4 linked regions of the Notamacropus eugenii genome follow. The protein of the gene in region 1 interacts with the protein of each later gene in a pairwise test. Links are inferred from orthologs where the notes say so. Each region holds a gene or a part of one and is shown on either strand. Other genes may lie near its edges.

The links.
Region 2: the proteins of LSM2 (region 1) and CLNS1A interact in binary tests that used the Homo sapiens proteins (3 or more experiments, as listed by UniProt). The link is inferred for Notamacropus eugenii from reciprocal best matches to the Homo sapiens genes LSM2 and CLNS1A.
Region 3: the proteins of LSM2 (region 1) and LSM1 interact in binary tests that used the Homo sapiens proteins (3 or more experiments, as listed by UniProt). The link is inferred for Notamacropus eugenii from reciprocal best matches to the Homo sapiens genes LSM2 and LSM1.
Region 4: the proteins of LSM2 (region 1) and dnaJ homolog subfamily A member 1 interact in a two-hybrid assay, tested with the Homo sapiens proteins (2 studies listed by BioGRID and IntAct). The link is inferred for Notamacropus eugenii from reciprocal best matches to the Homo sapiens genes LSM2 and DNAJA1.

The regions. Positions count from the first base shown.
Region 1 is NC_092873.1:85,494,294-85,501,961, reverse strand, and holds the start of LSM2 (U6 snRNA-associated Sm-like protein LSm2), read left to right. Parts: upstream 1-4,574; 5' UTR 4,575-4,879; coding exon 4,880-4,882; intron 4,883-5,996; coding exon 5,997-6,064; intron 6,065-7,668. UniProt on the Homo sapiens protein: Plays a role in pre-mRNA splicing as component of the U4/U6-U5 tri-snRNP complex that is involved in spliceosome assembly, and as component of the precatalytic spliceosome (spliceosome B complex).
Region 2 is NC_092876.1:125,811,492-125,819,608, reverse strand, and holds the start of CLNS1A (methylosome subunit pICln), read right to left. Parts: upstream 3,121-8,117; 5' UTR 2,815-3,120; coding exon 2,690-2,814; intron 1-2,689. UniProt on the Homo sapiens protein: Involved in both the assembly of spliceosomal snRNPs and the methylation of Sm proteins.
Region 3 is NC_092872.1:622,806,374-622,814,461, forward strand, and holds the start of LSM1 (U6 snRNA-associated Sm-like protein LSm1), read left to right. Parts: upstream 1-5,088; 5' UTR 5,089-5,338; coding exon 5,339-5,570; intron 5,571-8,088. Other genes in the region: BAG4 (BAG family molecular chaperone regulator 4), read right to left, coding at 4,645-4,950. UniProt on the Homo sapiens protein: Plays a role in the degradation of histone mRNAs, the only eukaryotic mRNAs that are not polyadenylated. Probably also part of an LSm subunits-containing complex involved in the general process of mRNA degradation.
Region 4 is NC_092874.1:312,841,867-312,849,271, reverse strand, and holds the start of dnaJ homolog subfamily A member 1, read left to right. Parts: upstream 1-4,279; 5' UTR 4,280-4,569; intron 4,570-5,505; exon of another isoform or gene 5,506-5,591; 5' UTR 5,592-5,600; coding exon 5,601-5,732; intron 5,733-5,961; coding exon 5,962-6,139; intron 6,140-7,405.

The sequences.
Region 1 (7,668 bases):
TGACCTCTCTGCAGTTTTTACTGCTTGTTATTGACTACCTACTTCTAAATATTTCTGTGACTTTCCTGTTTCCCTTCTCTGACCATTCCTTCTGTCTCCTTTGGTGGATTATCCTCCATTTTATGCTCTCTAATCAAAGTTTCCCAAGACTGTCCTAGGCCTCCTTTTCTCTTTTCTCTCTGCATGTACTCTTTTGGAGATTTCATTTGCTTCTACGAATTTACTTATTATTTCTAAACTGATAATTCCCAGTCTGTAAACCCAGTCCAAATCTTTTGCTAGAACTCCACTCTGCCAACACCTTGTGGAATCTATATATCCAAATATGCCCCCAGCATCTCGCATATTCAGTGTGTTCAAAAAAGAATTCATCCCTTACCACCAGCTACTCCCCAACTCAAGTGTCCTCTAAACTTTCCTGTTTCAGTTGAACTGCTGTATAATACTTCTAGCCTCTCAGGCTGGAAACCCTGCAGTCATTCTAGAGTCTTCACTCTTCCTTACTCTCCATATCTAATTAAGTTACCAAGTCATGTCCACTCTATTTCTGGAATTCACATTCTCATACTTACATACTCTCCTACAGCTACAACCTTAGTTCAAGTCCTTATCACCTCTCACCTGTGTTGTTGTAACAGCCTCTTAAGTAGTCTTCTTAATTTCGGTCCCTTCTGTCTTACAATAATTAAAAAAAAAAAAAAAAGCAAAAATCTGGTTGTGACACTCCCCTTCTCAGAAACCTTCAGTGATACTCTATTGCCTTGAGGATAAAATGCAAACTGCTTCATTTAAGATTCCCTACAAGCTGACTCCATTCTAGCTTCCCAGCCCTTATTTCACATTAGTTCCCCTCTGTTATTGCAAAATTGGATTACTAACTTGCTCTCCAAACTTGACATATCATCTTCTACCTCCAAGCATTCAAATAAAGTATACTCAATGACTAAAATATGCGCCCTTTTCAATTTTGTTTTTTGACTCTTTTCCTTCCTTAAGACTCAGTAACAGTGGGGAGTTGTACCTCTTGGTTTGCTCCATGTCCAGTGGCAATAACATTTATTCAGCACCCAATATGGACCCAACACCGTGCTAAATAATGGGAATATTAAGAAAGGCATCATAAAAACAAAAATCCAGACACCTCCCTCTGCTAGCTTATATTTTAATGGGGGAGACAACATACAAACAACTGTGTACGAGATAAATTTGTTATATTATCAGAGGAGAGGCACTAGCATTAAGGGAGCCAAAGTTCTGTAGAAGGTGGGATTTAGCTGGGACTCAAACAAAGCCAAAATGAGACTAGAGGCATACTAGCAATAGGGATTCTCTTGTTCAAGGAAGAGCAAGGAGGTCAGTGTCACTAGATTGAATAGTAAGAAGAGATAAGGAAGGTGTAAGAAGACTGGAAAAATAGGATGGAGGCCAGGTAATGAAGGACTTTGAGAATCAAAGGTGATAGGTGGAGGTGATAGGGAGCCACTGAAGTTTCTTGGATGGGAATGGGGTAGAAGCATAACAGGGTCAGGCCTGTTGTTCAGAAAGATCAATTTGACAAATGAATGGAGTAGGGAGAGACAAGTCAGGAAGACCATCCAGCAGGCTATCATAATAATCCAGGTATGAACTGAAAAGGATCTGGCCTAGAATGGTGGCAAGGTAAAAGAAGAAGGGGGCATATACAAGTGAGGTTATAAAGATAAAATTGACAGGACCTGTCAACAAATTGGATATGGAGGTTGAGAGAATGAGGAATCAAGGATGATACCTAAGTCGTGAGTCTGGCTAACTGGGAAGGTGATGGCGTCCTCACCAGTAAAACAGAATGAGGAAGAGTGGAGGACTTGAGGGCAAGGGAAGGAAGATAATGAATTTCATTTTGAACATGATTTTGAGTTTAAGATGTCTACTGGACATCTATTTTGAGATGTCCAATAGACAGTTGAAGATGAGAAACTGGAGCTCAGGATAAATGGATAAATAGATCTAGGAATCATCAGCATTGAGATGATAATTGCATTCACAGGAGCTGATGTGATCACCAATATTATATTATCCTTTGTTTTTGAAGAGTTCTAATTTCATCATGGGATGATGATTGACTTTCTCATGGATTTAGGAAGCAAAGTTGCACAACCAAAATAAATAGAGGAAAAACAGGCTTCAGCACACAATTTTGGGGGTTTCACATCAAGTACCTACTATGTGCCAGGCACTGTACTAAATCCAAGAATTAAAAATATGTTGTTCCTACTTCTAAGAGCATACATTTTAATGGGGGGGGGGAGCAAATCTATATATAAATATGACAAAACCAAAGTTAATAAATACAAATACATGCAAACAAGTTAAATACAAGAAAGTTTGGGGAGAGAGGACCTTAGCAATTGGGGTACCAGTAGTAGAAGATTATGCTTTTGTTATGGCTTTTTAACTTGGTCTTTATCAGAGGAGAAGCTGTGGGCCCACAAGTTGCTGATAGACTCAGAACTGCTCACTGGGACTAGGAAGAGTATATCATTTATTTGAAGAGAGGAATTTCTATAGAGAACCACTGGCAGTTGGTCACAAATGGGGAAACTGAAGACAGTTCGGTTCAATCTGTCTTTATTACAGTACATGCAAAAAAAAAAACCCAAAAAGCCTGAGTCCCACTAATAAAATGACTATCAGTATATTATGTGCTTGGCTAAATATGTGTGACATGGAAAGTACAACTATAAATGGGTCTTAGTGTACATATGTCTGTGACATATGAAAGCTTGAGAAGGCAAAGACTAAGAAGAGCTAAGGACATGTAGAACAGTCCTACAATACTGTCCCAGCATACTGATTATGAAGTGTGGGGGCTGGAGAAGGAAGAATTATTGGCTAGTTTAAAGGTTTAAATATAGGGTCATGTTGGTTGGGGACCAATAAAGACAGAATATTAGTACAACAACCACTTTTCTCCTATAGGACTCATAGATATCCCAGCTGTCCTGTGAAATCAATTCCATGTGTTTCTGATAAAGGCCTCATTTCTCAAATATATAGAAAACTGAGTCAAATTTATAAAAGCACAAGTCATTTCCCAGTTGCTAAATTGTCAAAGGATATGAACAGGCAGTTTTCAAAGGAATAAATTAAAGCTATCTATAGACATATAAAAAAATGCTCTAAATCACTATTAATTAGAGAAATGCAAATTAAAACAATTCTGAGGTACCACTTCACACCTATCAGATTAGTTAATATGACAGAAAAGGAAAATGATACATGTTGGACAAGATGTGTCCAACAAAATTGTTGCATTGTTGGTGAAGTTGTGAACTGATCCAACCATCCTAGAGAGCAATTCAAACTATACCCAAAGGGCAATCAAATTCTGCATACCCTTTGATCCAGTAATACGACTTATATGGCTGTATCTCAAAGAGATCTTTAAAAATGGAAAAGGAGTTCCATGTATGAAAATATTTATAGCAGCTTTTTTGTGATGGCAAAGAATTGGAAATTGAGGGGATGCTCATCAATTGGGGAATGGCTGAACAAGTTGTGGTATATGAATGTAATGGAATACTATTGTGCTATAGGAAATGATGAGCAGGATGATTTCAAAAAAATCTGGAAAGACCTATATGAACAAATGCTGAGTGAAGTGAGCAGAACCAGGAGAACATTGTAATAGCAACACTGTAAGATGATCAGCTATGATTGATTTAGCTCTTTTCAGCAATAACAATAATCCAAGATATTTCCAAAAGACTTGTGATGGAAAATGCTAACCACATCCAGAGAAGGGCCTATGGAGTCACAGATCAAAGCATACTATTTTCACTTCGTTTTTTATTTTTTCTTTCCCATGGTTTTCCCCTTTTGTTGATTCTTCTTTTACAACATGACTAATATGGAAATACGCTTAACATGATCGTACATGTATAACCTATATCAGATTGCTTGCTTTCTTGGGGAAAGGGGAGAGACAGGAAGGAGGGGAAAACACTTGGAACTCAAAATCTTATAAAATGTTGAAAACTACATATAGTTGAAAAAAGTACTATTAAGAAAGAAAAAATATTTGTTATATGAAATGACCCTCTAAGAAAAAGAGAAGAAGGTATACTGGGGGAAATTATTGTGATTTTTTTTTTTAAAAAAAAGGACATCGTTTAAAAAAATAAATTTGACGTTTATTTTGAGTTGTCCAGTTGACGGTGGAGATGAGAAACTGGAGGTCAGGAAAGAGGTTAGGGCTGGATAAGTAGGTCTAAGAATCATCAGCATAAAGATGATAATTGAATCCACAGGAACTGATGTGATCAATAAGGTAAATAGTATGGAGGGACAAGAAGCTCCAAGACAGAACCTTGGCGATTATTTTTTTAAACACGAATTATTACAGGAAGGTCACCCAGTTGTGGTGGAAAGATCCCAGAATGTATCTTAGTAAATGATTTTCTTCCCATATCACTCGCTACATAGTAATTTTGTCTCGCGTCGTTCTATCTCCACTGCACAGGACAATCCTTGAATATGTCATTAACCAAGTTGACCTCAGCCACCCCAACCCCCGAGCCCAAAACAACGCCTGCGCAGTGAGACTCTGGAACTGGGTAGCAGGCTATAAGCTCCGGCCAGCCTCCAAGTCTCAACCCTAAGGTTCCGAGCTTTTCCCCTTCTCAGGCTGCAGCTGGGGGAGCTGAGGCTGGTGTCTCTTCCTAACCCGCTCGCGCCTTCCGCCCGCCGCCGCACGTGCGCACCCACCCGCCCCCCGCGCCCGCGCGCGCCGGCCTTGGGCTCGGACTCGGGTGGCAAAGATCGGCGGCCCACACTCCCCCGCAACCCCAGCTAAGCCGCCCCACCTCCTCTCCCGGACCCGAGCCGCGGTGCGAGGACCATGGTAGGGGCTGTGACGTCATAGGCGGGGGTACCGCTTCCCGAAGAGACCGTTGACTCGGTTCGGAGGCGCGGGGACGGGAGGGTAGGGGGGAGGGACTCCCCCTTCCCCGGAAACTGGGAAGGGTGCGGGGTCGGGCGGTTCGGAGAGCCCAGGATTCGAGCCCCAGCCCTCGCCCCCTCCCCCCCTCGGGCGAACCTCGGGCGCTTCGCCTCCCCCCTCTCCGGGCCTCAGTTTATGCCTCGTTTAGAATTAAAGGGTTAACCCTTTCTGCTCTTTCAAAGCTCCCTTGGGACCTGAATTGTGGATGTTGAAGTGATAGCGAACGTGTACAGATAGTGCTTTCCGTCGGTTAACCAATTTGGTGGGTGCCAGTGAGGAAAATGAGGCACAGACTTGATGGTCACACAGCTGGCAGAATTTGAACTCGGTTCTTCCTGACTCCGAGTCTGCCCTTCTGTCCACATGGGCCACCTAACTCATCCCCGGCGCTTTAGGTACCCCTCTCCTCAACAAGTAACAGTACAGGATGTCCCAAAGTTTTAGTCCGAAATAGCAATGAGACTTTGGGGACATTGTGTAATGGACAATTGAGAAATCTGCAGCCCATTATTGCCATTAAATGGTGGTGGTCCTTGAGTCTTAAGGAGAGGGTAATACTCCTGATTGGGGAGGAGGTGGAGAGAGGACAAAGGATGATGTACTGGAAAGGAACTGTTAGAACCACAGGATATAGAATTCTGCAGCTGGAACGGACCTTAGAGATTTTTATCTTACAGGTGTGGTCATTGGGGTTGATTTGGCCAAGTTAACAGAGCTAGTAACTGGCTTGTATTAAGTGCTTACGATGTGCCAGGTACTGTGCTAATCACAGATGAAAATGTAAGCAAAAAGCTTGCTTTTTAATCATGGAACTACACGTGAAAGGAGGACTGAAGGAGAGAGGATGGAGGAAAGCAAACAGCATCGTGCTCCAGAAAATGTGGGATGACCATCTGGGCTCTTCCCCCAAATGGCCGTTTTGAAAAGAATTCATCAATAAAAGGAATAGAAAATGGGTGATCAGTGCACCTCTGCCCCATTTCATGATTTTTTCCCCCCTTTTCCTTTCTCTCAGCTCTTCTACTCCTTCTTCAAGTCACTTGTGGGAAAGGATGTGGTTGTGGAACTCAAGAATGACTTGAGGTAATGTGCACAGGAGCAACCGAGGAGTCTTCCTGCAGAGCTGAGGAAGGCAACTTTGCTGAATTTCCACAGAGGTCTTTTGAAAAAAGGCTTCTTAATTAATGTTGTGTAACTTACACTCTGCAATAGGCACTGGGTGCAGCATACAAGAGTACATGACATATTTCTGCTTTTAAGCTTTACGGTCAGAATGGGAATATAAGTCTTGCAAAGGGGAGAAATTCAAGAATACAGTACCAAACAATATGTTACCAGATACTAGATGATGTGGTATATTAAATATGTTTTAAAGGAATTCAGGGAAGAGAAAGGTCAATATATTAGCTGGACCTTGAGAGACGGATAGAACTTGGATAGGCATGGAGATCATAGAATTGAGATAGAAATGGACAAGAGATTTCCAGGTGAAACACTGAGCAGAGGGCTAATGAGCACAGTGTTTTCAGGAGACAGCCAGTCAGGTCTGACTGGTGAAGAGTTTAAACTTGATTAGGCACTCATTGCTTCTTGCCTGAACTATTTCAGTAGCATTCTAATTAATCTCTCTGTCTCAGGTCTCTTATCACTCCAATCCATCTTCCCACACAACTACCAAAGTGATTTGCTTAAAGTATAGGTCTGACCATGTCATACCCCTCCTTCCCCAAACTCCAAAGGCTTCCTGTTAACTCCAGAATCCTGTATAAAGTCCTTTGTTTGACATTTAAAATTCTTTACCACCTAGCCTCTTCCTACACATTGTGAATTTTACAAGTTAACCATTCTAGTCTGCTTCTTGACTTTTCCCAAGTCACTCCCCACTCCAATCCATCCTTCACACAGCTACCAAAAATTATATTCCTGAAGTGCAGGTCTAATCATATAATTCTGTGGTACCCCCTGCCACTTCCCCCTAATTAACTCCAGTGGCTTTCTGTTATCTGCAGGATCATGTATAAAATTCTTTCTTTAGCATTTAAAGCTCTTTGTAACCTGGTCCCTTCCTACCTCTCTAGTCTTCCTAAATATTATCTCTTTCCAACAACTCTACGGTCTAGCCATTCTGACCTACTGGATCTTCTTCACTCCAGAATCTCCTCTCTGGGTGCCTTTGTACTGGCAGTCCAGCATTCCCTGAATGTTCTCATGTCCAGTTCTGGCTTCCTTCAGGAGCTCAAGCACATCCCATCTTTGGAGGAGGCCTTTCCTGATCCTTCCCAACTGCCAGAGCCTTCCCCTCTAAGAGTACCTTCCATATACTTTGTATCTTCCATATACTTGTGTATTTCCACATTGTCTCCCTTACTAGAATGTAAGCTTCTTAAGAATAAATAGGGGCTGTTTTTATCTCTAGCACTTAGCATGCTGCCTAGCACATTGTAAGCATTTAATATACATGTTTGCTGATGGATTGGTCATATGGATGAGAATTCATTGACTTGACATTTTTGCTATTGAGGACAAATTTTAGTAGCATGGAATCCAGAGTTGTAGAGTAAGGCTTATATAAAGGACAAAGTGAGTCCTAGGCAAAACTGTAAAGAGGGTGAAATTTAACCTTGTCTTGCCAGTTTCCACCCTACACCCCCCCCTTATCTTCTGGTAAATCCTACCTAGCTCTTGTG
Region 2 (8,117 bases), on another chromosome or scaffold:
AACTGCTAATTGGACCCAAGGCTAGCAAGAATTCCTTGAAGAGTTAAAGAAAATGATAGAGGAATAATTGGGAAAAGAAATGAAAGTGATGTAAAAAATTATGAAGAAAATAAGCAGCTTGGTAAAAGAAGCCGCCCCCCCCCCCCCAAAAAAAACACTAAAGAAAATAACACCTTAAAAAATCTAAATTGGCCTAATGGTAAAAGAGGCATAAAAATTCAATGAATAAAAGAACTCCTTAAAAAGCAGAATAGGACAAATGGAAAAGGAGGTACAAAAGCTCAGTGAGGAAAATAATTCCTTAAAAATTGGAATTGTGCAAGTGGAAGCTAACAATCTCATGAGACTTCAAGAAGCAATAAAACAAAGTCAAAAGAGTAAAAACAATAAAAGAAATAAAATTGAACTATCTCATTGGAAAAATTATTGACCTCAGAAAAAGAATGAGAGATAATTTAGGAATTATTGGACTACCTGAAAGCCATGAACAAAAAGAGTCTACACATCATATTTTAAGAAATTATCAAGGAAAAGCGTCCTGATGTTCTAGAACCAGAGGGTAAAACAGAAATTGAAAGAATCCACCAATCACCTCCTGAAAGAGATCCCAAAATGAAAACTCCCAGGAATATCACTGCCAAATTCCAAAGCTTCCAGGTCAAATAGGAACTATTGCAAGAAGCCAGAAAGAAACAAATATTGTGGAGCCACAGGTTAGGATCATACAAGATTTAGCAGCTTCCAAGTTACAACGGACAACTCCTACGGTTTCAATCACCTCTATGCAGATGACTTTCAGGTCTACTTGTCCAGAGCTAATCTCTCTGCAGACATCTAGTCTCCCATCTCCAACTACCTTTCAGACACTGCCAACTGAAGGTCCAGCAGACACCTTAAATTCAACATGTCCCAAATTAAACTCATAATCTTTCCCCTATGCCCTCATAAAGCTTAACATCTAACGATAAAGCGTATGTATAGATAAACTATCTTATAAAATACCCAAGTGAATTATCCAAGCATAAAAACAGTACTGTATGGAAAGATGTTGTTTTTGATTCGGGAGACTCAGAGATGATTTCTTGAAGAAGCAAGAATTTTGAGTTGGCCTGAAAAGATGAGCAGAAAATCAGAGGTGAAGAGGAGGGAAGAATACTTCAGGCACAGAGAACCTCAGAATGGCAGGAAAACACAGAGCTGCAGTGTAACAGGATAAGGTTGGAAAGATAGGGTGCTACCAGATTTTAAGAATCTTCAAAGACAAGCAAGAGAATGAACTTTACTTGGCAGAAAGGTTCATCTGGGAGCAGTAAGAAGGAAGGATGGCAGAATTCAGTAAGTCAGTCAATAATTATGCGTTACTCACTATGTGCCAAGAATTGTGCTAGTACAAGGAATACAAATGTGATAAACAGTCCCTGCCTAAAGGAACTTAGAAATCTGAAGAGGGAAGACAACATATAAAAGAAAGCTGAAGGGGAGGTGGGGGAGGGGGTAAGGGATGGTGGAGAAGGCCAAAGGAGGACAGTCAAAGTGGAAAATGAATGGAGGAAAGGCAGAGGGGAAAGGGCTCAAGTTGGGCGAGAGACGTATCTGGAATGAGCGATACTCGTTAGGCAAAGGCTTTCAATGGATGTTTCCTGGTTGAAGCCCCCATTACAGCACCACGTGCCGAAGGGCACACCTTGGAGGCGGCTACAAGGCCCGGGCCGGGGGTGTCACTTAACTTCGGCCCACCTCAGCTTCCTTCTCCAGGTGCCCAGCACCTGGCACTGTGCTTACTCACCATGAGGGCACTCTTCCCCAGCACCTTTAAGAGGGAGGGACAGCTGCCGGCTTTGGGATCTCCCCGCCAGGGGACAGGGGCTATCTCAGCACGGGTCAGGGATTCTGGCTCCCCCGTAGCCCCACGCTCCCATTTCCTCCGCACACTCGCGGCTCTCAGTCCGCAGCAGCTCCGTTTCTGAACGACAGAACTTTACTTTTTGGGCTGGAGGGATTTCTCCTCCCTTTTCCAAAGAGCCTTCCCCAGTTCCCCCAAGGCAGGGGCATTACTGCGGATTTCTCCCGCACAGACGGCTGGCTGGTAAACAGGTGTTAGCTCGCGGCCGAAGGCACGGCCACAGGCGGCTTTACTTCCCCAATTTAACCACGCCCTCGAGAAGAGGTCGCGAAGGGCTCCGTGGGCGGGAGGGGCAAACGGAGCCCCACGCCGAGCTCCCTCAAGGGCCGGTCCTCCGTCGGTGCGGGCGGCGGGTCTACGGGTCAGTCAGCAAATACTCATTGCCCCCCTACTGCGCGCCGGGCCCTGCGCCAAGCGCCGGGGACACAAAGAGGAAGAGCCGGCCAGGCCCCCTCTCGAGCGGTCGCGGGCCGATGGGGGAGGGGGCGCGCCCCCCAGGGGCAAACACGCGGGATAAAGTGGGTCTGCGCCCCAGCGGAGCCCCGCGCCGCGCCCCGCCCAGGGGCAAAGAACTCCGAGCGCGGCCACAACCGCCCCCGGCCCGCCCGGGACGCCCACGAGGAGGCTCCGCCGCCGGACACCTGCACACGCGCGCATGCGTGCATCCCGTCTCCTCCCCCGCCCCCCGCCCCCGGCTACGAGAGCGCGCCCACGCACGGGGCGGGAGTTAGGCGAGCGCTAAGGTCCGCCGCGCCCGCGCTCATCCCCTCAAGCCGGCGCCACTACCTCTCGGCGATGTAGAGGGTGCCGGTGCCCAGGCCCTTGCCGTCCAGCACCGCTTCGGTGTCGGGCTGCTGCTGCCGAAGCCCATCTTCTGGGCTGGGCGGCGGAAAACTCTTCAGGAAACTCATTCTGTCAGCGGCGGCGGTGGCGGTGTCCGCCCGCGGACCAGGGAGGGGGGCTGGACCGCAGGCGAAGGAGACACGCTCGCCCCGAACCCGGAAGGAAAGGGGCCGGGCGAGGCTGGCCACCCCGGAAGGACTAGGACGGCTAAGCCCCGCCCACCGCCTCCGCTCTGGAGTAGTCAGAGCCTTTCTAGGAAGAGTGGTCGCTGGTCTTGGAAGACCGGCCCGCCTCCCTCCCTCCCACCCATTCTGGTCTTGGGGGCGGGACACGTGGTTTCCAATCCGGGCTCTTTCCTGGACTCGCGGTGTTTTCTGGGCCACTCGCTTGCTCTCTCCTGTCCGAGCCTCAGTTTCCCCAGGTGTAGAATGAGCCCCTGGAAGGGGAGGGCGTTGACCTAGCTCCGCCCGAGGCAGCGTGGCCCTGGCGTGGCGAGGCCCGGGAGGGGGAACCTCTCTGCGGGTGGGGCGACCGGTCCGGATGGTGGTCGCTGGAAACGTGTGTCCCCCACGATCGGTGAAGCACGACCTGGGGCGTGCTGGGCATGCCCCGGAGGGCAGGTGTTGGGCATGGGCCAGTTGGTGCCCGGGCCCCGGATGGGCAGTGCCCCCAGGAAGCTCCTGCGCTGTGGGTGCCCGGTTGGACGGCCGTTTGATCTCCTGACCAAGGGCTCCGGAGCGAAGCCCGCTTCTGAGATGCCAGGAGAGGATACTCGGAAGGGCAACAGGATTGCGTCGTGGGGCCAGGACCCGCGTGGGCCTCGCTGCGGCTGGAGAAGCTCGCCGTCTTTTGCGTACCCGCTTCTTGGCCGCTGTCTACCAACAAGATATTTTAAGTGTTCTGAACGAACCGTTGTAGGGGGAGAAACAGGAACCACAGTCACTTCAGGACGTCTCGGTGGCATCTGAGCAGTGCCCAACATCGCAGTCTCCAGCCCCCAAGCCAGGGCACCGGAAAGCCTGCGGCAGGTGGGCTTTAACCGCTGTGGTAACCCATACTTGCTGTCTTAGGATGAAGAAAGCCGGCCGTTTTGTTTAAAGGGCTGTTTTCACCACAGTAGAAGTATTGGGGCTCTTCCCTTTGTCTCCTGCCCTGGAACTGGAATGTATAAAGCCTGCCACTGGCATTCCAAATATTCCCCTTTTCTCCCTTGACTCATTTCTCTGTTTACAGAGAAATGTTTTACTTCTCTATCTATGCTCAATTGCCACCGGTCTCACAAGCTGAAATGCCATTGCCATTGGCCATGGCTGTGAAAGGCTAAACAAGCCAAGTCCACACCAGAAAGCTGATTTGCTGTTATTGGAATGTTTTCAGCAAGTCCTCTTATCTTTGGCTCAGTTACCAACCCTTGATGGGTAGGCTCCCAAGAGGTCAAGAAAATTCCCCAATAACCAAGTCTCAGATTTAGAAGGACCATTAGATAGCAAAGTGGTCCCACAGACTTCTGTCCTGGGCCCTTTTCTCTTCTATACCGCTTTACTTGGTGATTTATCAACTCCCATGCATTTCATTACTATCTCTATATTCATGACTTTCAAATCTGTCTATCCCACCATAATCTCTGCTGACCTCTAATCTCCCCTTTCCAATTGCCTTTCAATTATCTCTAGCTTGATACAATTGGATATTTTAAATTTAACACTTCCAAGATGGAACTCATTCTCTTTGGCCCTAAACCCTCCCCTCCTGTTATCCTCCTGTTATTGTAGAGTTCCCAGTCCCTCAGGTTCATAACCTAGGAGTCATCCTGGACTCTTCACTTTCTTTCACTCCCTTTATCTGACCTGTTGCCAAGGCCTGTTGATTTCCATGTTCCAGCATCTCTCAAATATGTCCCCTTCTCTCTTCTGACATTACCACCACCATGGTGCAGGTCTTCATCACTTTGCAATTGGATCATTACTGCAGTAGCCTGCCGATGGGGTCTGCCAGCCTCAAGTCTCTCCTCTCCAATCTGTCCTCCATTCAGTCACCAAAGTGATATTCTGTAAGTGTGGGTCCAGCAATGTCATCTTCCCTCACTACTCAGTAAACTCCAGTGGCTCCCTCGTGCCTCCAGCAGCAAATACAAAATGCTCTATTTGGCATTCAAAGCCATTTATAAACTAGCTGCCTTTTACCTTTCCAGTTTTCTTTAACCTTCTCCCTGCCACACAGTCTTCCTTCCCTGGCACTGGCCATCTCTTGACTCTGGGCATTCTCCAGGGCTGTCCCCCATGTCTAGAACACTCTCCCTCTGGCTCTGACAACTGACCTCCTTGGCTTCTCCCAACTAAAATCTCACCTCCTACAGGAAGCCTTCCCTAACCCTTCTTAATTCCAGTATCTTTCCCCTTGCTAATTACTTCTTGTTTAGTGTGTGTGTGTGTGTGTGTGTGTGTGTGTGTGTGTACAGTTTGTTTGTGTATATTTGTTTGCTAGTTACTATTTGCAACGTCTATTATGAGTTCCTTAAGGGAACTGTCCTTTGCCTCTTTTTGTATCTCCAGTTATTATCGAAGCAACTGGCATAGTAGGTACTTAATAAATGTTGATTGATGGATTGGATTAGTCCAACTCTCCAGTCAGTGGTCCTGTGCCAAGCCTGATGAGTGTTCAAGCAGAAATTTCTAGAACATCTCTAATAGCTCTAATGCATTTCAATCCATTTTCAGAGTTCTTTTTACTTAGAAGTTCTTCTCTATAATGAGCTGAAATCTATATTTCTTCTATTTCTATCTATTGGTCCTATCCATCTATTTTTAATCTACTGATCCTAGTTTTTGCTCTCTAGAGTACAGTAGAATAAGGCTAATTCCTTTTTCACTTGATAGCTTTTCTAATTCCTGAATACAATCCCTGATTTCTCTTCTTTAGGCTAAATATTCCCTTCAATTAATCCTCATATGGGAATGTTTTAATTCAAACATCATTGTTGAAAATGTCATATGGAGAGTTCAATTGGGAAAATCATAAAGGGAGGAAGGAGATGTTGGGGTGATGGAGGTGGTAGAAGAAATGCTTTTAGGATGCACTAAGCCACAGGAGATGACATGCCATGTTGGTAAACTTGGCTTATCAAATCAAAATTTCAGGGCTAGAAGAAGCCTTAGTGATTATCAGATCCAACCACCTCTTTTTCCTAGAATTGTAGAGTGGGGAAAAAAGCTGGATTTGGAATCAGAGGACATGGTTCAAAGCTTGGCTCTACCATTTACTGTTTGTGTGATTTTGGGCAAATTACTTCATCTGTCTGGGCCTCAAGTTCCTTCTCTGTAAAATGAGAGGGTTGGATGTGATGGCCTCTAAGATAGATCCCTTCCAGGTCTCCGTCTCTGATAAAATGGTTTTCCTTCTTCTCCCTCTGCTTTCCCTCTGCCCTCTTCAGTGAAAGATCCCTTCTGCCACATTCCTGACCGCAATCCTGGCCATCTGAATTGGACTGGTTTTGTTGAACAAAAAAACTCAGGCATGCTGCAAGGATGAGAAGCAGCAGAGTAGTGACCTACAGCCACATATCAATGAACTAAGCCTCCATGTGTATGTGCAATATGGAAAAAAGTGGTGAACTCTGAATGATCATTTTGGTAACACGAAGAACTTTCCATCAGTCTTTGAAAATGGAAGACAGTAAAAGTAATGTGTATTTAAATTCTGCAGTAATGAATTATTAGAGAAATGCAATTTAAAGCAGCTCTGAGATTGATTCTACCTGATTGATTCTATCCATCAATTAAGCAGTGATTGTTAAAAATGATAAAAATGTAATACTCAAGTGATTAGGCAAAATAGGATCAATATAACCAGGAGTGAAACTGTGAATTGCTACAATCTATTTGAAAAGCAACAAAGAAGTATACAATATGGGCTACAAAACTGTTCATATCCTTTAACCCTTCACTTAATCCCTAGGACTACTACTTGGAAAGTACCCTAAGGGTTTTATTGACCGGAAAATAAAAGGGGACATAGAAACAAATAGAACAATTTTGTTACCACTCTGTGAAAGATAATATTAACACTTTTAAAATACCCCATAGTAGAAGTTTACAGTTCCATGTACAATTTAATCTTCTTTCCTATTTGGCTGAATATTTATGTTTCCTGGCAGATGCTAAAAGTACAATAAATCATTTTAAAAATATCTCCACTGAAATACCCATTGAATTCAAACTAACAATGGCCACATTATGCTCAAAGACTCCAATCAGACACTGCAGTCTGGAGACTCCCTCTAATATCAGTCCAAAATACTGGACATAGTTCACTATTGAATTAGACAATGACCATGAATTGTTGTCATTTGGTTGTTTTTTTCAGTTGTGTCTGCCTCTTCTTGACGCCATTTGGGGTTTTCTTGGCAAAAATACTGGAGTGCTTTGCCATTTTCTTCAGCTCATTTTACAGATGAGGAAACTGAGGCAAACAGGGGTTAAGTGACTTACCCAGCATAAGTGTCTGAGGCCAGATTTGAACCCATGAAGATGGGTCTTCCTGACTTCAGGCCCAGCACTCTAGCCTACTTCGCCACCTAGCTGCCCATTTATGTGTGTGTGTGTGTGTGTGTGTGTGTGTGTGTGTGTGTGTATTTTGTTTGTTGAGACTTGTTTGCATGTTGTCTCCCCCATGTGAACTCCTTGAGAGTAGGAACTGTCTTTTGCCTTTCTTTGTATCCCCAGTTCTTAGTATAATGCCTGGCATATAATTGGTGTTTAATTAATGCTAGTTTATTGACTGACTCCCAGAGTCCCTTCTAAATCTGAGATATGGGGAATATACTGTGCTAGGTTCTGGAGAATTCAGAGTTAAAACATTTTGTATGATAACAACTTAAGTTGATTTAGTATTTTATGGTTTATAAAGCACTCTCCTCATGATAACCCTAGTCACGCAAGGAGTAAGTACTATTATCGCTATTTTATAGGAGAAAGCACTGAGGCTCAAGGTCATAGTACGCTATGGATGATTTACAACTATTAAAAGTATCAGATCTAGAATTCAAACCCATGTCTCTTGGCTCCAGCCCTATCACAGCTCCAGACTATCACACTGTTGAATGACTCCTACTTCCTAGGAATTTAATGGAAAGATTAACTCAGGATTTCTAAGGATTTTATTGTCTTTGTATAGCTACAGTAAATATTGGCAACAAAAGCTGAGCACCTGGGAATTCAGTTTAACTAGGGGCTGCTACCTGGATATTCTTTCAAAGTAGTATTAGAAACATAACTACCACTCATTTACATATATGTATGTATGTACTCATTCATCTTCAGAAAGGGCTGAGGAACAGTGGATAACGGTGTTTGCTGCCCAACAACTCCAGGAG
Region 3 (8,088 bases), on another chromosome or scaffold:
GGGGAGGGAGAGGCCTGGAATGAAGAGGACAATGTCGAGTTCAACTGGTTCACCAAAGGGTCAAGATGGAGAAGAGATGAGTATACAGACAATATGGGTGTAAAGTACAGGGGAGGAGGTCAGGGAGGGACAAAAGAAGAGCTTTTGAAGTTGAAAGGCAGAGAGGCAATAAAATGATTAGAGATTGTGATCAGATAAGGGAAATTTCAGAAGTCATGAACAGGACAGTGAAACGTTTGTAGGTGATGGCCAAATTCAAGGGCATCCCCTTGTGTGTAGTTGGGGGAAAATGGTGTTTGAGTAGTAGTTCCTAGAAAATAAGTAGATTTAGAAACTAGATTTGGGTGTTTGAAGGACTATCAATATGTAGACTGATGCCCTCTGGATGGAAGATAGAAGTTGGGGTACAGAAAAAACTGTGAGCCAAGCACAGAACTCATTAAGAAAAGAAGAATTGTCCTGGAGATGACACTGTGGAGATGACAGATGACAGCTACCAGAATCTTGTTTGGGTGGTAGAAATTAATTGAGTGAACCTCAAAGGAGGAGAGTGATGGTAACAGAGGGAAAACATGGAAATAAGTGGCAACGGGAAGCAAAGAGCATTTCAATTCCCTCACCTCAAGTGGTGATTTGGGATATGAGTGTAAATGTAACCACTTCTTGAAAGGGTGATCAGAAAGGCTGTGTTATCAAGAAAAAGCCAGGAAATGGAAGGAGTAGGAAAGGAAAAAAATTAGTCCTAGAGAGGGGAGGTCAAAGAAGAAATGCAGTAGTTCAAGTAGACTGAATATTATTCTGGAATGCTGGCCCCAAAACTGTATTTTAATATGTTGTGACCCTAGTCTGAGATTCCTATAAATGTTACCTCAAATTGTCTTGGAGGGAGAAAGTCCAACATCATGAAAGGATTATGTCAGTTTGGACCCTTGTCTCTCTGTACTAGATGAGATTTTGAATGTTAAATTAATAAAAACTGACTGTTGCAGATCTGTGCCTAAAACAGAGTACACTATTAATATCTTTTCTTCCACAACTATTCCAATCAAGTGTACCACCATCCTAATCACCCAGGTTCCCAACCATGTTGTTATGCTTAACTTTTCATTCACCCTCACTAGACATATGAAATCAATTGCTAGGTTTAATCAATAGTCTAGGCACTATCTGCCCCTTTCTCTCTATGAGGCCATCACACTAGTTCAAGCCTTGTCACCTCTCTCACCTGCACTACTGTAAGAGCTTCCTAACTAATATCCTGCCATCTTCCAGGTAGTTGCTAGAATGATATTCCTAAAGCCCAGGTCTCCCCCCCTTACCCAAATGCTCAAGAAGTTTAACTGGCGCTAATAAAATGTTGGTTCCCCTGACTGCCTTTCCAGAGTTACAACATATTACTCACCTTTGAACCTTCTTGAGTCCAGCTAAACTAGCTTTTCCTTATTGTTCCTCACAAGTGACACATTTCTTTCTGCTTCTTTGCCTTGGAACAAGCAACCTCCCACACCTGGAACGCACTCTCTACTTCTTTTTCCCTCTTAGAAGCCCAGTTCAAAAACCATAGCCTGCATCCTCCATCTTCTTTCCTGCTCTCCCACTGCTAGTACCTCCTCTCCTATCCCTCTGCAGCTACACTGAATTTACTTCATATATATTTTCTACACACACACACACGTGTATGTGCCCCTAGTTTCTCCTAGAACACAATAAGCACAGTGAGGACAAGAACAGTTTCATTTTTGTCTTTATATCCTCAGTATCTCATAGGTGATTATCTGGTATATAATTGGCATTTATTAAGTGCTTTTTCAATACTCTAAATCACTATTGATTAGAGAGATACAAATCAAAGCAACTCTGAGGTACCAAATCACACCACTCAGATTGGCTAACATGACAAAACAGGAAAATGACAAATTCTGGAGAAAATGTGAGAGAGTTGGAACACTAATTCATTGTTGGTGGAGCTGTGAGCTGATCCAACCACTCTAGAGAGGAATTTGGAATTATGCCCAAAGAGCTGTGAAATGTGCATACCCTTTGTTTGATCCAGCAATACCACTACTAGGTCTGTATCCCAAAGAGAACATAAAAATGGGGAAAAGACCCATATTTACAAAAATATTTATAGCAGTTCTTTTTGTGGTGCCCAAAAACTGGAAATGGAGGAAATGCCCATCAATTGGGGAATGGCTGAACAAGTTGTGGTATATGAATGTAATAGAATATTATTGTGCTTTAAGAAATGATGAACAGGCAGACTTCAGAAAAACCTGGAAAGACTAATATGAACTGATGCTGAGTGAAATGAGCAGAACCAGGATAATATTATACACAGTAACAGCCACAGAGTGCAAGGACTGTTTTTGTTTTTGATAGACTTAGCCCTTCACAGCAATTCAAGGACCTAAAACATTTCCAACGCACTCATGATGCAAAATGCCATCCAAAATGCAAAATGTCCAGAGAAAGAATAATGGAGTAGGAATGTCGAATGAAGCAGACTTTGTTACGTTTTGTTCTGTTTTGTTTCTCCCATGGTTTCTCCCATTCGTTTTAACTCTTCTATGCAACATGACTAGTGTGAAAATGTGTTTAATAGGAATCTATGTGTAGAACCCATACAAAATTGCATGCTGTCTTGGAGAGGGAGAGGAGAAAATCTGGAACTTATGGAAGTGATTGTTGAAAACTGAAGACAAATAAATTCATAAATTTGGGAAAAAATAAATGCTTTTTCATTTATCTATTGATTTTTACCTCTAATGTTCAGTCAACAATATTATATTTTAAATATTTTTACATTGCTGCCAGTTTCAGTCAGTAAGTTTAAAAACAAAACCAATCTATGTGGAAAGAAATCCATAATAGAATGTTCACTCCCATTGGGAGCAATGGTCAATTAAATATCTCTTCTTCTAGTCCTCAAACCTGTTTGATTATCAACAACAAATACCTATATAGAAGTTTTGTGCCAATTGTTAATCTTTTGGACAGGTCAGTTTCTTGGGTTGTATTCATGCATATTTTCAATGATGAAAACTGTGTTCAAGAAGTGGCATAAGGGATATTACTGAAGAAATGTATACTGAGAAAAGGAAGTGGACCGGTCATGTGGCTAGATGAAAGAATTACAGCTTTACCTACCATTCAGCTACTATACAAAAAATGTAATGGAAACCTTGAAGGTTTCCAGCAAGTTGGATGGATCCTCTAGCAGGAATTAAATGGAAAAGAACTGCACTGGATAAGAAAGCATGGATATGTGATGCCACTTGTACCAATACGGGGAGTCCCAAATCAATGAAATTATAGCCATGTTGAAATAAAAAGTTATCTATTAAAGAAACAAAAGAGTTGACTTGGTGAAAGATGGTAGAATTCTCCACCCTCCCTTAAGTGACACTGATTGTAGCCCAGCTCTAAGGAGTACAGACATAAAATCCAAAGCCTAGATAGAGGTTCCACCTGCTGGTCACATCAAGTCTGAAGAATTCATGGGTGACTCAATCAGTCAAAATGCTGTGTAATAAGGATGGTTCCTCCAGGCCTACTATTATTCGAATATGTCCCCTTATCTCCCACTTTTTCACAACCTAAGCAATCATTTAACAAGAATTTAATAGGCCACCTCCTACATGCAAAGCACTAGCCATCAAACTGAACTAGTTCCCAAGAACATAATTTTCCAATTCCTAAATCCTACCTTGAAAGAGTAAGTCAAGACCAAGTTCTCTGACCATCCTCTAACCCCAATGAATACACACACACAACCTCGATGGATGAGATCAGGGATGTAAGAGATCAATCTTCTAAACAATCAAAGCTTTTTCCACCCCGCCCTCCCCCCTCCCCCCCACGTTAGACTATTCCTAGACGCAGCGAACAAATATGTAGGACCTTTATCTACCTAAGAGACAGAAGGGCTTAAATGAAACGTCCAACGCGGAGGTGGTGAAGCAGACTGACAGGCAGACGAATGGAAGAGACTAGAGATGCTGCAGTGATGACCCTCAGAAGAGACACGCACTTGCAGATCACGACACGCTCTGAGCTTAGGAGCAGGTGGGGAGTAAAAATGAAAAAAAGCTGATAGCCTCCGGAACGACCCGGCTCGCAGCACCTAAGGTCCCAACGTGCAGGAGGGGCCGCCGAGTGAAGGCATCACAGTCGTCACCGTCTTCGGGGGAGCGGTGAGGGGAGAGGGTGGAAAGGGCCTGTGCCTGGGGGGGGGAGCAACCTAGGGTCCATTCCAGACCCCCTTCCCAATGGCTTTGGAGGCCTCCCCTGGGCGAGCTCAGTTAACCTGGGCATTTGTGCAGAGCGGAAGGCTGCAATAAACGATTTACGATTTCTTTTTCAGCTTGCTTTACCCCCAATCGCTGCTCGGTGAGACACCATCACCCAGGCCACAAACCTTGTCCCTCCTCCCATGCTCCAGAAATAGGAGACTAACGAAGCTGGGATCCGTTAGAAGCCCTCCAACAGGGTCTCACCCCGGCGTCCCGGGCCTCTGCAACGCGACCCCCGGGGCCTCATCTCCCTAGGGACCAACCACCCCCGGCGACCCCCTCCACATCAACCCCCTCCCCCCGCGCACGGACGACTCCAGTGACCCCAGGGGCTGGCCGGATCGGGGATTACCTGGTGGCCTCCGGCCCGGCACGGGTCTGGCCAGGCGGCTCCCCCGGGGTAGTAGCCCCCGCCACCTCCGCAGGCTCCGCAGGCTCCGCTGCCTTCCCCGGGCCACACAGCCTCCGCCGGGCCGCCTCCGCGCATCCTCCAGGGGCCAGGAGGCGGAGGGGGAGGCGGCTCGGGCCGCGATGAGGCTGGAGGCCCAGGCGGGGGCACGTCTCCAATGCTGGGTCCGGGTCCGGGCCCAGCCCCGTAGTAGCGGCTGTAGCCCGGGCCGTCGCTGGGGCCATATCCTGATCTCCTCAGGGTAGACATTGGCTCCGCTAAGCCGCCGCACTTCCCGCTCCCCCCACCCCAAGCCCACTGCGCAGGCGCCCGCTGAAGGCAAAGAACAAGCCTGGGAAAAGGGGGCGGAGCCAAAGCAACCAATCGCCGCCCTGGCTCCTCCTCCGCGGGAGTAGCGTTCATGGTCCACACGCTGACCAATGAGGCTGAAGGGGGGGGGGGGGGTCTATGCTAGTTCGGGCCAACCTTAGGAATTGAAGTTAGAGAACTGAGAAGGGCAAGGCGCACGTTCTTCCTCAGCCTAAAGAGGAAAAACGAGTTCCCCACTATCTAATGCGGTCCCGCTCACATCTCTCCCCCTTCTCCTTTCTCGGGGGCCTGCGCCGTACGACCCGCCCCCGAGCATGGGAGCCACGTGATGCCGGAAGTGGGCGGGGTAGGGGGAACTTCCGGTAGCTCCTCAGTGACTGCTGGCGGCTGTGGACCTGCGGGTACCGGCCCCGCTGAGGAGGCTGAAGCGGAGGGAGAAGTAGGACGCGGCGGGTCCGCTCCGCTCCTCCTCTCCCCACCGTGCCCCAGCCCAGCCTCCCCCTCCCGGTTCAAGATGAACTATATGCCCGGTACCGCCAGCCTCATCGAGGACATTGACAGTGAGTGGCCGCCGGGCCAGTCCCCCTTCCCTCGTCGGTCCGCCTCCTCCCTCGGGCTCGGGTAGGGCATGGGCCGAGGCCGGGACGCGTCTCCAGGCCGTAGCCCCGGCCCTCGGGCTGCGGTCCGCGAGCGGCCGAGGCCTCCCTCTGACCGCAGATCGCCTGGGGGGGAGTTAGGCGTTCCGGAGTCACGCGGGGTTTCTTTTTTGCCCTTTTGTCTGAAGAAGGCAATGGAGGTCATTCAGAGACTCCGACACCGCTTTTCGACCTGAGTACTCCCCACAAATTCATTAAGTGCCTGCGATTTGCGAGGCTTTTGTCCCCAGAAGCTTGGCCCAGGTGGGGAAGTCTTTAGGCCATGGCAACTCTGGAAGACCCTTTACTAAACCCCTGGAGGATGGGATTACGATCTGTCCGGGGGAAAGGTTGGCCTCGCTGATAAAAAGAAATAGCGAGGTGCGTGCCCGGCAGCGGGGAGGCGAGTGGTCCCAGAGCTCAAGAAATTGGGTGCAACAGTGAGGGGACGCAGTAAGTGCCTGAAACAGGGCGTCCGATAGTGTTCAAGGAAAGTGAGGCCCACCGTTCTCGAAGCTGTGGCAGAGACTTGTTATCTTCCTGCCCGACCCCTCCACCCCAATTCAGCAGACATTTAAGTGCCACTGTTCAAGGGTCCGAGGACACGAAGACCAAAATAAAAAAAACACACACACCCCTTTTGGAGTTCATATTCTACCAAGGAGATGTGTATACACCTAAGTATAAAGTATACGTGCCAGATTTTATCTTAGCCCAAATAGACCCTAGAGACAGCAAAGCAATTTCAAGAGGGAGAAGGAGGAGGAAAGGTCTGGAATAGGAGGTGGTACTTGAACTATGTGATCTCTTATATAAAGGCACAGTGGCAGGAGGGAGTATGTTGTGTAAGAGAAACAGCTTTAGGACCAGTTTGAATGGAATAGAGTCCGTGAAAAAAAAATAGTGTATCGGGAAATGTCTTAAAAACCAGATCATGGGGGTCCTTAAATGTCAAGTTGAGGAGTCTGTATTTTATGCTAAAGGCCATTAGGGAGGCATTCAAATGTTTTGTTGAGGGGTGGAGTGTAATATGTTCAGAGCTATGCTTCTGGCATATCAATTTGGCAGCTATATTGGAGGATAATTGGAAAAAGAACAAATTGGGCCAATTAGGCTATCCAGATAGTCTGTCTGCACAAAGTAGTGGCTGTGTAAAATGAGAGAAATAGAGGTAGAATCCCTTCACACTATTATTTTATACATACATATTTTCTCTTTCACTGACAAATTCCTGGAAAAAACCGTCTGTGCTATTTGCCTCCTTTTTTCCTCACTTTTTAACCCCTTTGCAGTTTAGCTTCCTACCTCATTACTCCTTCGATTCTGTCCTCTACAAAGATACCAGTGATCTCTTAATTGCCAAATCTAGTCCTGATCCTTTTTGACATACCATTCCCTCCTTTTGGTTTTCATGACACTGCTCTCTATTTGTTCTCCTACCTGCCTGTCAACTTTGTCTGTTTTGCTGTATCACCATCCATATCCTGCCCTCTGATAGAATATATCCTGGACCCTCTAGATAGACTTTTAGTATTCTCATCAGCTTTTCAGTGGATTCAGTTCTCTATGCAGATGTCTCACAGATCTATATATACATCCCTAGTTTTTCTTTTGAGCTCCGATCCTGCATCACCAGCTGTCTCTTAGACATTTCCAACTGGATATCCCTTAGGCATCTCAAATTCAATATGTCCAAAATTGAACTCATTATCTTGTCTTCCCATTTCTATCAAGGACACCACTATCCTTCCCATGACCTAAATTTTCAACCACTGAATCATCCTCAACTCCTAACTTTCCCTCATTTTCAAGTCTTTATCAATTCTACTTCTGTCTCATCTCTCACAATTACCACCCTGATTCAGGCTCACATCACCTTTCATCTAGACTATAGCCATCTAATTAGTCTTTTATCTCTGATCTCTCCATCCTCCACATAGCTGCCAGACTGATATTCCTAAAATACAGATCTTACTCTGTTAGTCCACTGCTCAAGAAGTTTCAGTGGCTCAGTATTGCTTCTGACTGCCTTTTCAGTTCTTCACAATTTGGCTCCATCTTTTCTTTCCAGACTTAATAAATGTTACCTCCATCATGTGCAGCGTGTTCTAGCCAGACTGACCTACTGACCTTTTCTCATATGCTACAGTCCATTTCCTGCCTCTTTGCTTGTTCCCTGTGCCTAGAATGCACTCCCTCAAAATCCCTAGCCTCCACAGCTCTGTTCAAGTGCATCCACGAAGCTTTTCTTGATTGCCTGCAGCTTCTAGTGCTGCCCACTGCCCCCCTTTTGTGTGTATATATGTATACATATATACACCTACACACACATTCTGTGTATGTGTGTACATCGTTCTGTTTTGGACATATTTGCTTTGAGATAGAAGGAACATGGTCAAGGGCAGAACTCTGAAGGATGTCCACATTTGGTCGACAAAGGGAA
Region 4 (7,405 bases), on another chromosome or scaffold:
GGGAAAGCCAATTCTGTTCTCTATAACCTGCTATGCAGGGACTGGCATTCCAATGAACTGTTCCTCAAATAATTATTGTCTTTTTGTTGCTTACAAATGTATTACTCCTGATATTTAAAAAAAAAATGGTAATCACTATCACTGACTTATTTAATGATGGAGAGTTTGGGAGGGATTTTTGCCCTTAAAGAGACAGGAGACTTTTTTCTCTTTCAGTTAACTTGAGATGGGAGAAGATGAAACCTTGAATTCCCATGGGAGAGAAAAAAAGCATTATCATCCCCTCAATCTAGTCAGTCAGTCAACTAGCGAGAGAAATCATTGGGGTATATGTTGTTACAACTGGGACCATCAATATTACTGTACATGAACCTTGTGTTTTACATGTATCTTGCAGCTAGCCAAGATCATATCAATGGCCTCCTGACTTTGGTCCTTAGCCTTCTCCAGAGCTTTCTCCTGCTGCTTGGCTCAGCCAATCCAACCCAGGCCAAGACCTCACCAACCACTCACCAACTTTCTTGGCTTCTAGAACCTTTTCTAGCACTATGCTACTAGATAAGATCCCCTCAACCTCCAGTACCCTCAAGGCACTTCTCCAGCATGCTGCCAATACACTAACCCTATTCCTTAACCCCAACTGCCTGCTTGCTTGCTTTCTCCCACACACCTCAACATAAGCCAATGTCTTACTTCATATTCACCACACCTCTTTGCACTATGCTCTCTGAAATGCTTGCTCCCTTTTTAACAGTCTTCCTTTCATATAAAACTCTTTCTTACTCCTTCCATCTGGTACTGAGACCTGGCTTCCACTTGCTAGCTCTGCTTCCTTCTACAACCTTTACAATATTAGTTGCATTTCACTCATACCTCTGACTCACTGGCTATGGTAGCCGTTGGAATGAGTGCCTCTTGCTCCTCATGACCAGTTCTAGACTCAATTTCTATCACTATGACTCAGCAGGATCTCCTCCTTTGAGGATCATGATTTCCAAATTTATCCCCTGATCCAGATCCTGATGGCTGTTATCTAATGCACTGTAGGACATTATCCTTCTTTACTCAATAAATTCAGTTCATGGTTCATAGTCTTTTTCCACATCCTAACTCTTACATTCTCATTAAGGGACTTCAATATGTATATTGATGCTCCCTCAAATATCCTGACTTCTATTTCAGTTCGTATGACTTATTCCTTCCATTCTTCCTAAGCTGCACACACAAAAAAGTGATCATATCCTTGATCTTGCCATCACCCACAAGTGTTCCACTTCAGAGTTCCTTAATTTCCAAAGTTTAGTTCCAAAATTAAGTTCCAAAATTTCTCTGATCAAAATCCATTATACTTTATCTTTCCCTATGTATTACTATGTTTTTCATCCTCACTATAACCTCCATTCCCTCCATCCCTAAGTTCTTTCACAGATTATTACCTTTTCACCAGCTACTTTCTCCTGTTTTCATTATCTAAACCCTTAGTGAACAATTCAGCTCTATACTCTTGAATCCTTTGCTCCTTGTCCTACCATTGACAACACCTTGCCGAAACTCAACTTTCAGTCACTCCTACATTTTTCCTCCTTCCCTCCTATTCATGTACTGTTAACTAGAACTGCAGGAAATCCTAAGACCACATTAGTTGCAATAGTTATATAATCTCAAATAGACCCTCACTGCAGCAAGGTAATCATTCTACTTCTTCCTAGTCAACTCTCCATCTCATTTTCCACAGCAGGTATACCTAACCCTCTCATATCTCCCAGAGCCTTCCTCCATCCCCACCTTCCCTACTGAGGATCTCAACTCCTACATTACTGAAAAAATTGAGGTTATTCAACAAGAGTGGCTTTTCTTCAACTCTCATCTCACTTCATCTTGCCCTATTATTTCTTCCTTCAACAAATCTACGATGATGGGGTAGCTCTTCAGTTTGTCAAGAATAGTACCTCTATGTGCAAGGCATTTTCGAGGAATGGGAGAAAGGGAGGAGAGACATAGGGATAATAGCATGAGGGGATGGTAAAAATCTAGTGAGACTTGTATGACTTTGTCATCATGCCCTAAGAGAGGTGGGTGCCATATCTCCCAGAAGTTGTCACATCACTGTTGCCCTAGGAAGGAAGGAGTTCTGTAGTTCAGTAATTTCTCAGATTTAGCTTCCAGGAAGACAACTGATCAGGGCAGATAATATTTGGATATAGTTCTGGTTGACCCTCTCTCACCTTTCTTTATTCCATCCCCAGCTGAGAGTCCTTACTCTTAAAAGTTCTTGCCCCCTCAAGAGGCTCCATTTATCCTGGGAAAATGGTTCAGTTCTCCCTCAATTGGCAAGTCTCTTTTTCCTAGGGATAGTTCAGACAAATCATTCTTGGAAAGTTCCTGGGAGATGGAGTCATGTTGCTGGGAAGTGTCTTTCTTTTGAACCATATGAAGACGAATGTGTGATTTGCCTGGAAGAAAGGGCATCCTTGAGTTAGTAGCAAACCTGAATTCCTGGAATGGCAAGAAGGGAGTCTTTATCCGGCCATCAGTGAAGAAAAGAGCAGCTCTTCAGCGCAGGCCCCCAAAGGTGCACAGATTTGGCATTCTCCCTCCTTGCCCTACAACGGGTTCCCGGGAAGAAGATGCCATAGTGATCTGGGGAATGGAGAAGGTGGTGGTAGTAACAAAGATGATCTCATTATCAACACTAGCACTGAGTTTGCAATGGAGACTTCGCTACCTTGCTGCAAATGACCCTCACCTGTGAGAAGGATCAGTGACTGTTAGAAATACCACCTATGCAGTGGCCTAGATGGTCCTGGTAATTTTCCTGTGCATGCTTCACACTGGGCAATCACCTTCCCCACAGGGGATTATTAAAGTTTGGGACTTAGTCTTCACTTACACAGAACTGTTTGCCATTTTTTTCTTTTTTAGTGTTTATTTACTTGTACAAGGTCCTCCTCCAGTAACTTTCCTACCCCAGGCCTCTCACACCCTGAAGATCAGTCTGTCTAGTAGGAGCCCTAGTCATGTAAGTGGCCTGATAGCCCCGAACTGCCTTGTAGTTTAGACTTTATTTTTCATTAAAAGCATCCTTAAAATTAATTGGCCCGGGAAGACTCAGCTCAATTTCCTCAGCCCCCTCAGCTAAATCCTTGACTTATTCTTGATGGCCTCAAAAGGAGACAGGTGTCAGGCTTGACCAGCACACCAAAGGTGGGCAACAAATACATCAGCAGGGAAGCTGTCCTTAGTGGCTTTTTAAATGTATTTTTTTCTTTCAAATGTCCAAAAGGCTTTTTGGTATAAGGAAAAATGAACTGGCCTGGGAATCCTTGGGACCTGTCTGGAATCTCTGCCACCCCCGGGTGCTCAGGCCCCGGGACATCTTCCAAGATTTTAAAATTACAAATAGGGTGGAGATAATTTCTTTCTTTCTGAACATATTTTAATTCAGCCCATTAAATACTTCCCGATGACATTAAAACTCTTTTAACATTTAAAAAAATTGAGTTTCCAATTCTCCCATGAGAAGACAAGCAGTAAGATATCGATTACCCAAGTGAAGTCACTCCAAACCTAGTTGGAGAGAAGGCCACAAACCCGGAGGCCCATCCCAGTTAATCCGAAATTCCCGGGTGCTTTGCCCCATTAGGTGTTCCTTGTTTACTGAAATGTGCTTGCCAAGTCTCCCTTTTTCAAATTTATACCATTTTCTAACAGGCAGAAATGTTGGGATCGCCCTCAACATTAATCTACTGACTTAAAGTGAATGACAATCCTCACTAAGCCCCGGGGACCCGGAGGCTTTGGCCTGATAAAATCGGGAGAAACGGGGAAACCGGCGGAAGGATCCGGGAGCCATTACTCGATTTCGGGCGCGGGGCCACGGGGGCCATCGCCGGCCTGGGCCGGGGCCTCCTTAGGCCCACCAGCCCTAGCTTGGCTCCCCGGGCCCCGGGAGGTGGGGGAGGGGACGGGGCCGAGAACCTTCGGTCTCCCGGGGCCCTGGGCCTCTCCCTTCCCCCGCCTCCCCATCGCCAGCCTGGGCCGGGGCCTCCTTAGGCCCACCAGCCCTAGCTTGGCTCCCCGGGCCCCGGGAGGTGGGGGAGGGGACGGGGCCGAGAACCTTCGCTCTCCCCGGGTCCTAGGCCTCTCCTTTCCCCCGCCTCCCCAGCGCCAGCGCCGAACAGCCTCCATCATCCACCTCCACCTTCTCCCCCGTTAGAATATTCCGGAGTCCCGCCTCCGCCCCCCGTTACCCCAGTAACCGCCGCAGGGAGGGGGAGAAGCGGGAGGGGGCGGGGCGGGGCGGGACTTCCGGCGAGTGACGCACCTCCGCTCGGCTACAAAACTCGCCGGACGCGGCCGCGAGCGGAACTTTCCAGAAAACTCGGCGAGAGGCGGAGGGCAGCAGCTGCCGCTGCCCGAGCTCCGCGCGCAAGAACTCGCGCCCCCTCCCCCATCTTGTCTTCCTTCCACTCCATCCCCAAACATCCCCACCGGCTCCCGGGCGGTCCCCTCTCACCCCACCCCGGACGTGGGCATCGACACCGGGCGTACGGCGAGCGTCGCTCCCCGGTAAGTCCATCCCCACCCCCCACCTCGGCTCTCCCGCCAGAGCCGGGAAGGCCGTTGGCGCCTCTCCCGGGGTGCGGGGGCCGGGGCCCCGGATTTCCGAGGGGTGTTGCCCCCGCTCTGCAGCCTGGGCGCCGAACAATGGGCCTGGCGTTCTCCCTGGCCTCCTCGCCACCTCCCCGCCCCCCGCGATGTCGGTAGCTTCCCCCCATCCTCTTCTCTCCTTTTTCCCCTCCCCCCACTCCGGTCTCTTCGGTTCTTGGGGGGGGCGCACCTATTTGCGGGGGTACGGGGGCGCTGTGTGCGCGCTCTTGTCTGCGTGCGCGTCCCCGCTCCCCCGCAACCTCCCCCGAAGGAGCCCTGGATGGTGAGTGTACGTGTGCGCGCGCGCGCGTGGGTACAGGTACGCCGCACACACACGCGAGCTCCATCCCCGAGCGCCCATAGAGGTCGTGACCTCGAGTCGGGGCCGCGAGCCTCCTGTGGGGGTGCCGAGCGTGGCGGGGGGAGGCAGCGCCCACGTAGCGGGTCAGGAGACCGTGATCTCGGGGGGGGGCGCCCCGGAAAGGGAGCCTTGGAAGGAGAGGTGGGGGGCCGAGGCGAAGGCGGCCCCGGTGGGTCGGGGGACGAGGATGACCTGCCAGACGTTTAACTGGGGGCCTCACCTCGTGGTGGGGAGCCTGGCCCCGGGGCGGGGCGTCCCGGGGAGGTGGGAGGTGGGGGACCGGCCTCCGAGGGCGCAGCAGGGGATCCGGGGAAGCGCCTCCGGGCGGGGGCTTGTGGCGAGCCCTCCACCGGCCTGGGCCCCCGGCTCTTTGTCTTGTAGCCGGGTAGGAGGCGGCCTTGGGGAGAGGCAGGAGGGCTGGGACGGTCCCTAAAGGCCCCCAGGTGTGCCCAGGTGTTAGGGTTATGAAACGTGACCCAGTTCTTGGTTCAAAGGCTTGGGTAAAACCTTCAGAAATACGTAATCGATCAGCTGGCATCAATCGATTCTAAGTGCCTTCAGGTTGTGGTTTTAAGTGCAGACTGTAAAAATGGTGAAGGAGACGACTTACTACGACGTCCTGGGGGTGAAGCCCAACGCCTCCCAGGAGGAGCTGAAGAAGGCGTACCGAAAGCTGGCCCTGAAGTATCACCCGGACAAGAACCCGAACGAGGGAGAGAAGGCGAGTGGTGCTTCCTTTTTAAAGAGTCTTAGTGGGGACCGAAAGTAGGAGGAAGAGGAATCCTCTGATGACCGCTGTCCTGTCTGGTCTGCTTTGGGTTTGTGTTCTGTCTGGTTTGAGGGTCCGTGTCAGTGGGTTGACGAATCTGTGTGAAATGTGACGTGACCAGAACCTAGGTCCTGGCTGCACCTTAGAAGAACCTGCTTTACACTGTGGCCTCTTGTTACAGTTCAAGCAGATCTCTCAAGCTTACGAAGTGCTTTCTGATGCCAAGAAGAGAGACCTGTATGACAAAGGGGGAGAGCAGGCCATCAAAGAGGGCGGCTCCGGGGGTGGCTTCGGCTCTCCCATGGACATCTTTGACATGTTTTTTGGAGGAGGTGGGAGAATGCAGCGCGAACGGAGAGGTAAGCAGGGGCTTCAGAGAGTCTGCGATGGCAGTGAAACAATGGCTTTGTTGTCCTTGGAGTTCCTTAAAACGGGAACACTTTCACGGGATAGGCACCTTTCGCCTGTCCTGTACATATCTGTAGAGGTTTAAAACAAAACAAAACAACCCCCCCCCCCCCCCAGTGTTAATTAATCCTCAGCGTCCAGTTTTAATTTATTTGGATTTGGGGGGAATGCCTGATGTTACTTGACATAAATGACCCCTTTTTTGTTGGCTTCATGTCATCTGCAGTTTGAAAAGCATGCCATCTCTAAGCCATTGACAACATTCTGAGTAGAACTAGGTAAAAAGAAAATGTTGTGGTGCTTACTCAACTAGGAATTCCTTCCAGTTGGACATTGATCTATTTATTAATCACTATTCTGAGTCTGGTTGTTGAGGTTTTTTGTGAGCTTTTGCTGTCACCTCCCCATTGTGGCCATTATCCCATTTATTAATTTTTTTAACAGAAAAAACCCCCTCAAAATATTGTAGTCCACCAAAACAAATATCTAGTACCGTCCTTGTGCAAAACGTGGTCGTGTGCATCTGTATGTCTGTAGCTGCATTTTTTATCATCTGCAGCAGGAGAGGTGTTTCATCCTCAGTCTTCTGGACTTGGGGAGCTTATCATTCTTTGTATTGATCAGAGTTCTCAAAATCTTGATTATTTTTCTCTCTGAGTGTTGTAACTGTTGTATCATCAAATTTATTTCTGTTTAGTTTACTCTGAATTAGTTCATGGTGGTCTTTATAGTTTCTTCCCAAGCTATAGCATATATGTGTGTGTGTACACACATACATGTGTGTATATATGTATATATACATACCTATACATTACATAAAATTTCATTATTTCTTATATCACAGTAATATTCCATTATATTCACGTCTTCTTATTTAGCTCTAATCACCGAGTGTAGATTTTACCCACATATTTACCATGTAGCTCATCTCACAATTAGTCAACAATGAAATATTGATTAACTTTGCCAGATACCTTCTGAAATTCAGAAATAACAATAGGTAAGGATAATTCCATACACATCACCTTGGTAGAAATCTATTAACCCTCCTTTGAAAAAGATAGTTGTCATCTGATGTAATTTTTGGATAAAACTGTTGGCTCTCAATGACCACAAATTCCTTTAATAAATGCTCAGAAACCATATCTTTACTCCAGATTAAAACATTATCACTGACTTAAAATTGGAAGAATTAAAGATCCTCATTGAAAATTGGG